Macaca mulatta: one gene and its partners. The protein of the gene in region 3 binds, or shares a complex with, the protein of the main gene of each other region. Links are inferred from orthologs where the notes say so. Each region holds a gene or a part of one and is shown on either strand. Other genes may lie near its edges.

Region 1 (3,300 bases), on a different chromosome or scaffold from region 3:
CCAGGAGGCCCCTGTGGATTCTAATTTATGTTTTCAGTTGTTTGCCATTTTGTATCTTCATTATGGGGCTACTTTCCTGCCCCTCTAAAGTCATCTTTCCCAGCAGGCTGTTTCTGGACTTTATTTAGTACTGTGGTTACCTCCTGCAGGCTGTGTGGCCCCATCCTTCACCAAAATGTCACCTCAATTAATTCAGTGGCCATGAGACAGATCCATCACTGGCCCTCCGATTCCCGTCAGCAGGCGCCCATGAGTGATGGGCATCTCCGCGCCTCCCGCGGCCCCCCTCCCGTGTGAAGTCAGCTGGGCAGGACTCACCATCCGTCTGGGCACGGGGGCACCTGGCTGGCCCGAGTCCTCTCATACCCTGTGCTGAGGGAGACGTCAGCCTCAGGAGGAGACCCCAGGCGCGTTCATTCCACCTAGCTGGCCTTGTTCCCCAGCCCTGCTCTCAGGGATGCCTCAGGAGAGCCAAGGCCCTGGCAGGGCAGCCAGGCGCCCTTTCCCTTCGGGCCAGGCCTAGGCAGCGGGGTCTTAATTGAATCTGCTCATTCCCACCCTAGTTCTACACAGCACGGCAGTGCAAATGGAGCTGGCAGAAGAGCTGACTTCTCATTTCTCTTTCCTCTCCCTTCTCTGGCCCGTAGGTGTTTGAGGAACTGTGGAAGAGGGAAGGCAAGACTCCAGGGCAGATTGTTTCAGAAAAGCAGCTTGAACTGATGGAGGACCGGGGGGCACTGGAGCAGCTCTGCCACTCCATGATGGAGGCCCATCCTCAAGTGGTGACTATCTCGGGCGGGGGAGAGGGTCAGAGCCACCTGCAGAGCCAGCCCCAGGACACGCCCAAGAGCCTCGCCATCACTCTCTGTGGCAGCCCAGAGGCTCTTCCTAAGAATGACTGGCCCAGTTTCATCTACAATTCCCTCATTGTCATCTTTTTATTTAAGGTCAGAAGAGATGAAATAGGTAGATATTGGAAAAACACAACTTCTTTTCCTATAAGGAGGATACCACCCCTGGAGTTTACTCTCCATGGAGGTGTAATTTAAAAGGGTGTCAGCAAGCTCACGAAATCCAAGCTGTGACCTCCCAGGTGTGTCGCCCTCTCCCAGGGTCGGCATTTCGAATCTGGTGTGGTTAGCGCTACTTCCTAAGGACCTCCCAGTAAGGAACCAGCAGGTGTGCCTGCAGATCAAGGAGAGTACAGGAACTTCGGCTTCATGCTTCTAAGAAGTGGGAAGAAAGGCAGAAGGGAAAAGTATTTATAAATTGTGGAGAAAATCCCTGACAGGAGCATGGCTGAAAACCAGGTCATTTTGTGTTCTTAGCACAGCACAAGACAGAAAAGCTAAAACAAGTGGCATCCCTTCCTCCCCAAGTCTTATCGTATTGTCTAGAGATACTTTTCAGTGGGGAAAAAAATTGTGAGCCACTTTCTCAGAATAATACCCACCCACCCATCAGCTTCCCGGGGACACTTACAGCTCTGTAGAGAGCCCTCGATAAGGAAAGTGAGCCTGCACCGGGCCTCAGCAGCCTCGTCTTCCTGCCTCATCTGTGGTGACTGATAAAGACGTGCTAGTAGTTTCAGGCTTGTTCTGCGGGACTTGAGTGCAGATCCTCATGTCATTGCCCTTGGAGATGCTGCAGAGCAGGAGGTCGTGCGGTGGCCCTAACAGTCAGTGGCTATTTGATAAGAATTCAGTGCCTCCTGGCTTCCTCACTCCCCCCACCCACACAGCACACTCCCCCGACCCAGTGCTCCGGAAGACTTAGCCAGTGTGTAGATCTGCTTTCTGATAAAGGGATCTTCGTGGTGGGGAGCACGGGGAGAAGGAAAGCCGCACATTTCAGCTGAACGTCACTGAGAATCAGACAGGTCTCCTCACTGATTAGATGCAGTGATTCATCTCAGAGAGATTATCCCTCCCCAGACTCAGTATCCTCCGGTCATTGTGGCATCCCAGAGGAGAGGGCCCTGCCTCCCACGTGCCAGCTTCTCTGGCTTTCAGCAATCACTTCTTGCTCATTTTAATCAGAAAGCAGAGTAGCAAAAATCTCCTTTGACAGGAGCCTAGAAACCTACTCAGAAGTTAGGCCCCTCCCCTTTTTCTGTTCTTCATTTTTATATCTAATACTAGTGGAAATAAGCGGAATTTAATTTTCAGTAAACGTAAGCCTTAGTTTGGGATTTGGGGGCATGAGTCTCTTCATTTTCTCCTCTTAAGTAATTTCTGTCTTTCTAGGTAATGGATTTGAAGAAGGGAAACCCCAGAGCTATAAATAAACTGATTGGGTTGGTCCGGAAAGCGACCCAAAGCCGAGCAGATCCAGCCATGATAAAGGAGATCCTGGAGAAGAAGCTGTCTTCGTGAGATGTTTGGGGTCCCCATGCCCAAGGGAGAACAGTGCAGCCTGACTGGCAGCAGGATCCTGTGAAAGCTGACGCCCATGTGCCCTGTCAGTCCCTGTCCCGAGCCACAGCTGTGGCGTTATATATCACCAGTGTTCTCACCCTCTGGGCCCTGTGCCTGGAGGTGCCTCCACAGCCAACCGGCAGCCACCCCCGCCTGCTTCATCCACATCAGGAGGGTCCGGTGATGGCTGTAGCAGTGGTTAAGGAGTAACACCTTCTTGTATTAAGGAATTTTAAACTAAATAAAATGTTATGTTAGAGATACTGTTACCCATTCTAAGAAAACTTTTCATTCTGCAGTTCCTTCAACAAATATTTTTGAGCAACTCCTAAGGGCCAGCCATTGTCGTAGGTGGTGGGCATTAGCAGTGGTCAAGAGAGACTGTAATTTGGATATACTGTTTTCAGACCTAAACACAGGTTAACAAAGATGAAAACACAACCAAATAAACTGGCACGGTATAAACACACATTTGTTTAAGGATGTCTCAAGAGGGTGGGAAAGGAGGATATTATTAGAATTAATCAACCTATTGACTGAATAGAAGTGATACTGCCTGTTCAACTCCCTACCCATCCCAGAAGGCGCAGGTCTGAGAATAAATGAATTTTAAAAAGTAAATTTTCAAATAAATTTAATCAATAAAATATATACTGAAATATCACATAAAAATTAACTTACACTTCAAAGATTGTGCAGTTGACAACTCTCCCCAACTCCCCCAACCCTCAGGCCAAACAAGATAAAAAGAAACAAGAAAAAAGTTGTAACATGAAATTGACTTGTTTTGCTTGGAAATAAGATTATAAATTAGTAAATCACAATCTTGACCTTTCACGATAATGGTGGTGCGCTGCAGGCATGACAATGAAGGTGGGACTGT
Region 2 (3,588 bases), on a different chromosome or scaffold from region 3:
CCTGAACTCAGGTGATCCACCCGCCTCAGCCTCCCACAGTGCTGGGATTACATGTGGGAGCCACCGCACCTGGCCTCTTTTTTTCTCCCGCCTGACGCCCAAGAAATTTAATGTATGAAAAGATCATACTTGTTCAAGGCTACACAGTGGCCTTGAACCGCCCGCCTCAGCCTCCCAAAGTGCTGGGATTACAGGCCTGAGACACTGCGTCCGGCCGACAACTTAGTTCTTATGTGCAGCCTTAGCCCAGATGTTCCTGTCACATCTTTGTCCCTCATGCCAGGTCGTATAACAGACTTCAACTTTCTAGTATTCATACCATGAATAAATATTTGTTGTGTCTAGCTTTGGGCTGGGTGCCACACAAAAAACGAACTAGTCCTTTCCTAAAATAATCTTATTGTGACAACTTAGTTTTTTTTTTTTTTTTTTTTTTTTTTGAGGTGGAGTCTTGCTCTGTCGCCCAGGCTGGAGTGGTGCAGTGGCGCGATCTTGACTCACTGCAAGCTTCGCCTCCCGGGTTCACGCCATTCTCCTGCCTCAGCCTCCCCAGTAGCTAGGACTACAGATGCCCGACACCAGGCCTGGCTAATTTTTTTGTATTTTTTAGTAGAGACGGAGCTTCACCATGTTAGCCAGGATGGTCTCGATCTCCTGACCTCGTGATCCGCCCGCCTCGGCCTCCCAAAGTGCTGGGATTACAGGCATGACACACTGTGCCCGGCCAACAACTTAGTTTTTAGGTGTAGCCTTAGCCCAGATGTTCCTGTCACATCTTTGTCCCTCTACGACATGACTCAAATGCCATTAGGGTCTGCCCTCAGTCTGTGCCCACTCAAAGCAGGAGCATAGCTACTACTGAATACTGTATCAGTGATATAACAAACTGCTTGTTTTTTTAGTCCAAGTATCTGGAAGCAGGTTTACACACTTTTACACCTTGAAACAATAGTGAAGCCTGATGCATATGTTCAAGCTCCTGTGTGTTTTTTACCAGTTTGCCATCTGAAGGCTTTAGTAAACTCACTAGGTCCCATAGAACACTGGGAGATTCTTGAGCTGTTTGTGACACATCTTGCTCAAGGGCAGCTGCACCCATCCACCAAAAAGGGGCTGTGGTGGAAAAAGCATTCATCTTACGGGTACCAGATTGGGCTCAGATCCCAGGTCTGTTACTTAGGAGCCAACATCCTTAAGTCACTCTTGAGGCAAGTTTGCTTCCCCATCTCTGCTTAGGTTTCTAGCTTCATCTTCCAACCCAGCAGACCACACCCCAGCCTGCTGAACTCCCTGTCCTTCTCTGAATCTCTGAGCTCTGGGTTCTCTTGCTTTGGGATTCATGCTGCTATACCTGCCAAGAAGTCCATTTCTCATACCTTCATCCCCCAATCCAGCTATTCTGAGGATGTGCTACTCACCCAGGCTAGACTAGGTACCCTTTCTATCCTTTGGCAGGCTGTGCTAACTTCTGTCAGATTTAAAATATTATTTTATAATTGCTTTTACCTGTCCCCACCAAAAGACAGTTGCCCATATAATCATCAAAAACTATTTGTTAAATCAATCCAGAGAAGTGATTAGCACTTACTTCTCAGGGTTGTTGGGACAATCTATAAACTGTACGCTGTTATTTGGTCTACTGTTGATCCCAGCTTCTCTATCTTTGAACAGTGCCCATTAACTCAAGAATATACTTCTTCCTTGTTCTCTCCTTCTTGCCCCTTCCACCATCCCCTAAAAGCCCCCTTCTCTGAGAGGGTAACCTTGAGCTTCTGGGTTTTGTAGATGTCTATACCTGAGATCCGACAATGTGGTAGAAGGCAATTGTGCTGATGAATTACTACAAAACTCCCATCGAGTCGTGGAGGAGTATTTTGTGGCCCCCCCAGGTAGGTGTTGCCCAGAGTGGTTTAACAGATAGTCTCACAGTGACCTTAGGAATGAAGCAGGAAGCGTGAGGACCAAAGATGCTATGTGAAGGCACTTTGAAAAGGATAAAGTGCATACAGATGGTGACATTAAGGTGGCGGTAGGGTCCAGGGTTATACCTCTAGGGGGCAGGTAGTAACAGGAATAAGCAAAACAGGATTGGGGGGAAGTGGGGTAAAGGTTTAGAGTGGATGGAAATCTGGAGCTCAAGATCTGCCTAAAGGGGCAGCTGACATTCTGTGTTTCTCAAAGCCACAGTTAAGACCATGCCAGATCCTGTAATCGGCTCCAACTTTCTAGTATTCATACCATGAATAAATATTTGTTAGGTCTAGCTTTGGGCTGGGTGCCACAAAATAACCGGTCCTTTCCTAAAAGAATCCTTTTTTTTTTGAGATGGAATTTAGCTCTTGTTGTCCAGGCTGGAGTGCAATGGTACAATCTCGGCTCACCACAACCTCCGCCTCTCGGGTTCAAGCGATTCTCCTGCCTCAGGCTCCCGAGTAGCTGGGATTACAGGCATGCACCACCATGCCTGGCTAATTTTTTGTATTTGTAGTAGAGGCAGGGTTCACCATGTTAGCCAGGATTATCTCGATCTCCCGACCTCAGGTATCCACCCACCTCAGCCTCCCAAAACGAATCTTTTGTGCGGCCTTAGCCCAGTTGTTTCTGTCATATCTTTGCCCCTCTATGACATGATTCAAATGCCATTAGGGTCTGCACTCAGTCTGTGCCCACTCAAAGCAGGAGGAGCATGGCTGCTACCCTATCAGTGGTGCCAGGCAGGAATGTAAACCCATTTCTCCAGAGAACCTGGATACCTGGCATTTTGTGTGATATTTCTTTTCTTTTCTTTTTTTTTGAGACGGAGTCTCGCTTGGTCGCCCAGGCTTTAGTGCAATCTTGGCTCACTGCAACCTTTGCCTCCCAGGTTCAAGCAATTCTCTGCCTCAGCCTGCCTGGTAGCTGGGATTACAAGTGCCTGCCACCATGCCTGGCTAATTTTTTTGTATTTTTAGTAGAGACGGGATTTTGCCAGCTTGGCCAGGCTAGTCTTGAACTCTTGACCTCGTGATCCACCCGCCTCAGCCTCCCAAAGTGCTGGGATTACAGGGGTGAGCGACTGCATCCCACTGATATTTCTTAAATTTTAAGCGCTGGCAACCAATTCAAGCCAAATTCACCGTCCAAGCCAAATAAAACACACCTGCAAGCCAGGTGCAGTCTGTGAGCCATCAGTTTACAACTGCTGGTGTAGAGATTTGCATCATCTACCTACTGTAAATATTTTAAATAGAAGCTTTAAAATTAATGTGGGCTGACCAGTAAAATCCAGAACCTTGGATAGGTTGACTGTTTTTATCTCCTCTGCAGGTAAGTGAGTACTGGAGTTGTACTACCCCTCTGGGCCTTTGGGAGTGGGACTAGCCAAAAGCAGTCAGGTAGACTGCTAAGTGCCAACTTCCAGTTCAGCATATCCCCTGAGGGAGAATCATTCTGAGCAGACTCCACATAAGACATTGGCCCTGGTCAACTCAAGGTGCCAGTTAAAGGCAGGCTCTGGTTGAAGCAAGGATGGGAAAGGCAGCTAGAAAATGTGTAAGCTAAACTTTTTTTTTTTTTTTTTGAGACGGAGTCTCGCTCTGTTGCCCAGGC
Region 3 (4,058 bases):
AATTGTTACTTTTAACAGAAATGGATTCTGCGACTTATTTTTCACTTAACATATTTATCTTGGTTATTTTTCCATGTCATTGCATGGTGCTCTGACTCATTCTTTTCAGTGGCTGCATAGTACTCCAGGAATCTTCCTGTTTTTAAAACGATCGCAAAAGAAACAAATCAAAAAGAGGGAAACAAATCAAAAAGGGGGAAACAAAAGCAGAACACTTTACAGTTTGACATACATTCAATCTGAAGTTATTTTTGGTCTGTGCTTCTATTGCTTATATTTAAAGTGAAGCTTTGGGCTGAACAATGCTCCTAACAATAACATGGCACTCAGAAAATGCAAATTATATTTCCTTCCTTACAGTGTCAAGTTAAGCTACAAAATCAGACTGTTGCTTTCACAATTTTAAAAGATACATTTTCTTATTAGCATTCACTGACGGCTGTGTAAAAGTAAAACTTACATTTCCATAGGAATTATGTGTCAAAGTGCCATCTACTCAAAGCACATTCAGAAAGATGAACACTAAGTGAGATGATGAGGACAGAAAAAAAGCACCTAATCCTGCAGTCCTAACTTGTCATAACTCACATTAATATTAATGCAATGCTATAAAATTCCACAGAGATCAAATGAAATGGTTTTACTTGTTAATAAGATTTTAGGAAAACTGAAAAAAAAATCTGCAGAACTCACATCTCCATAGCTCTAAAAATATATAAATAATTTATGGATTGCAATGTGTGTGAAAGAACTTAGTTTTAATGGATAATTAAGGGGAGATAAAATATAAAACTATTATTAAAGAAACACATTCATTTTGATTAAATTGAGACTGATAAATATAGCAATGGCCATATTTACTTTCTTTTCTTTGGGTAGTTAAGAAATGCTTTACAAATGGAACTGAAAATATCATCAATGGATTCTTACCAAATACAAAGGATGATAGATAAACAGAATCAGCACCTAAAGCTGGGAGGAGGGAGGAGCCAAGTACAGAAATAAAAATACATAAATAAAATAAAATACAAAGTACAGAAATAAAATAACTCCAATAATAACAATAAAAAAAATTCCTAAAGCTTGAGAAAACTTTACTTACTGATGTACATTTTTAATTGCAGATTTCTGAAAACACTATTTAAAATATCTTATTAATACATATTAGCATTTTTTTTCTTTTTTTTCCTTTTTTTTTTTTTCAAAAGTCTGACCTTGCTGAAGGATAAACATTACTAACAGTTTAGTTCAGCAGCACTCAACTAAAGTCATTGTATGTTAGTCCCTAAATATTTGTACAATCAGTGAGCACACACTGAAATTATTTAAAAATAAAATGCAATGAAGTTCATTTATGTTCAATGCTTTATTCTACAAGATCCACAAAATCATATTTTAAGAGAACCAGATACCATGGAGAAAAATTTATCTTAAATTAAAATTAAAAGTATTAAATATACATAGTGTACTGTACAGTTGAGTGCAACTACAAGATATAATTTTGATATACCTTTGAGCACATACAGCTCACTAAAAAGAAAAATACCGAGGTATGAACTAGTCTATTGCTGGACACACTTTACGACTGTTTGTATATGGGTGGGTTTTAAAATACAGATAGAGAAAAGCATCTTACGCGTAGCATGTGAACGCCGATACGGCAGCTGCACTCCCACCTGAGCTCCCTCCAGTTATCAGCCAGTCTGAATCTTCATTCTTGCTGTGGGGATTCTGCTTCCTCTTTTCTCTATATTGTTTCGAATAACTCCAGGGGTTTTTAACTGGTCCAAATATACCATCTGTGCTCCCAGATCTGATGAAGTGAAGCAAGATACCTTAGTAAAACTTTCATTTTTTGTGAAAATTTCATCTTCTGAGTATATTACTTGCTTCTGACACTCATTGAGCATTTAAGAACCCACTGTAGCTTGAATTGAAAAAGGTGGGAAGCCTGCTCACATGTAGCTTTCATTAATTGACAGTTGGGGAGGATGGGAAGGAAGAGCATTTGTGGAAGAAAGTAGAGAAAGCTAATCGGCTAAGAAAAGATTTTGTCTCATTTGATCATCCAATTCAACTGAAGATGATTTCCCCCTTGTGAATCAAGGTCTTCCAGCTGAAAAGGGTCATATTCAGTTTAAGTCTTCTGAGGAAATCTCTCCCTTAACCAGAAGTTCTATGGAAAACATTACAAGTGGAATGCTAATAACTTTCTTTTAAATTTTTGAAATGATTTTATTCTCAGATAAACTACAAAAATAAAAATAACATATAAAGCACTTTATACCCCTTACCCAGATGTACCTACGGTCAATATTTTATCCCATTTGCTTTACTACTTATGTGCTCTGTGTGTATATATATGTACATATATACACAAAGTATGATAGAAACTTAAGGGTATCTTAAGGGTCCAACTTATATACATCATAGCCCTTTATCCCTAAATACTTGAGTGTGTATTTCCTAAGAATAAGGATATCATGTTATACAGTCACAGTACAGTTATCAATCTCAGTAACATTAATATCAATACGTTTACCTAATCTACTGTACGTAATTCAATTATGTCAACTGATTCAATAATGTACTTTGGCCGGGCGCGATGGCTCACGCCTGTAATTCTCGCACTTTGGGAGGCCGAGGCGGGCAGATCACGGGGTCAGGAGACCATCCTGTCTAACACGGTGAAACCCCGTCTCTACTAAAACTACAAAAAATTAGCCAGGCGTGGTGGCGGGCACCTGTAGTCCCAGCTACTCGGGAGGCTGAGGCAGGAGAATGGCGTGAACCCGGGAGGGGGAGCTTGCAGTGAGCCGAGATGGCGCCAATGGACTCCAGCCTGGGCGACAGAGCCAGACTCCGTCTCAAAACAAACAAACAAAAAGAATTAATAATAATAATGTACTTTATGGCATTTTATCCCCTTCCTGGATCAAATCTAGAGTCAGGTCTTCCATTTAATTATCATTGTCTCTCTCTTTTTTTTTTTTTTTTGAGACATTCTCGCTCTATTGCCCAGGCTGGAGTGCAGTGGCGCAGATCTTGGCTCACTGCAAGCTCCATCTCCCGGTTTCAAGTGATCCAAGTTCAGGCGATTCTCGTGCCTCTCGAGTAGCTGGGACTACAGGCATCCACTACCACGCCTTGGCCTCCAAAAGTGCTGAGATTACAGGTGTGAGCCACTGTGCCCAGGCTCATTGTGATTTTAATTTTGAATTTCCCTAATGATCAAAGATATTAAGCAGTTTTTCATGTGTTTGTCAACTATGTTTTAATCTCTGATGAAATGTCTGTTTAAATCTTTTGTTCATTTTTTAAAAATACAGTTGCTTGTTTTGTTATTTTCTTATTGAGGTGGGAAATGTTCTATGTATTTTGGATATCAGTTCTTTCTGAGATACAAGTTTTGCAAATATTTTTCTCTCAGTCTGTGGCTGGCGTTTTCACTTTCTTAGTAGTATATTTCAAAGTACAGAAGTTCTTAATTTTAATGAAGTCTATCAATTTTTTAGTTCTTAATGAAGTCTATCAATTTTTTAAGTGGATTTGTGCTTCATGCGTCCTATCTAAAAGACCTTTGACTAATTCTAGGTCACAAATATTTTTCCCTGTCGTTTTAAATTGTTTTTTTCTGTAGAGACAGGGTCTCACTAGGTTGCCCAGGCTGGTCTAGGACTCCTGGCCTCAAGCAATTCTACTGCCTCAGTTTCCCACAGTGCTGAGATAACAGGCGTGAGCCACCAGGCCTGACCTCCCCCTAAATTTTCTTAAGTTTTATGATGTTAGGTTTTACTTTCTTTATCTCTTATCCTGGAAGATTTTCACAGCCCTCTTTTGTTTTCATATGATATTTTAATAGACTGGTTCTCATTTTGGATTTATCTTTTGTTTCCCCATTAGTAGAGTCAGGTTATACATTCTCAGCTGGAATATTACATAGGTGATATTATATCCTCAGACAATTACATCTGGAGGCACATAACGTCCACTTCACCCTCACTGGTGATGTTAATTTTGATCAGCTGATGAAGGCAATGTCCTAAAAGCCTTTGTTC

The links. Proteins that work in one complex are often made in the same cells at the same time.
Region 1: QRSL1 (region 3) and GATB share a complex: the UniProt entries of both Homo sapiens proteins name them as parts of the heterotrimeric GatCAB amidotransferase (AdT) complex. The link is inferred for Macaca mulatta from reciprocal best matches to the Homo sapiens genes QRSL1 and GATB.
Region 2: QRSL1 (region 3) and GATC share a complex: the UniProt entries of both Homo sapiens proteins name them as parts of the heterotrimeric GatCAB amidotransferase (AdT) complex. The link is inferred for Macaca mulatta from reciprocal best matches to the Homo sapiens genes QRSL1 and GATC.

What each region holds. Positions count from the first base shown.
Region 1 is NC_133410.1:160,272,378-160,275,677, reverse strand, and holds the end of GATB (glutamyl-tRNA(Gln) amidotransferase subunit B, mitochondrial), read left to right. Parts: intron 1-647; coding exon 648-782; intron 783-2,246; coding exon 2,247-2,375; 3' UTR 2,376-2,686; downstream 2,687-3,300. UniProt on the Homo sapiens protein: Allows the formation of correctly charged Gln-tRNA(Gln) through the transamidation of misacylated Glu-tRNA(Gln) in the mitochondria. The reaction takes place in the presence of glutamine and ATP through an activated gamma-phospho-Glu-tRNA(Gln).
Region 2 is NC_133416.1:127,767,249-127,770,836, forward strand, and holds part of GATC (glutamyl-tRNA(Gln) amidotransferase subunit C, mitochondrial), read left to right. Parts: intron 1-1,785; coding exon 1,786-1,889; intron 1,890-3,588. UniProt on the Homo sapiens protein: Allows the formation of correctly charged Gln-tRNA(Gln) through the transamidation of misacylated Glu-tRNA(Gln) in the mitochondria. The reaction takes place in the presence of glutamine and ATP through an activated gamma-phospho-Glu-tRNA(Gln).
Region 3 is NC_133409.1:79,095,532-79,099,589, forward strand, and holds part of QRSL1 (glutamyl-tRNA(Gln) amidotransferase subunit A, mitochondrial), read right to left. Parts: intron 1,814-4,058; coding exon 1,637-1,813; intron 1-1,636. UniProt on the Homo sapiens protein: Allows the formation of correctly charged Gln-tRNA(Gln) through the transamidation of misacylated Glu-tRNA(Gln) in the mitochondria. The reaction takes place in the presence of glutamine and ATP through an activated gamma-phospho-Glu-tRNA(Gln).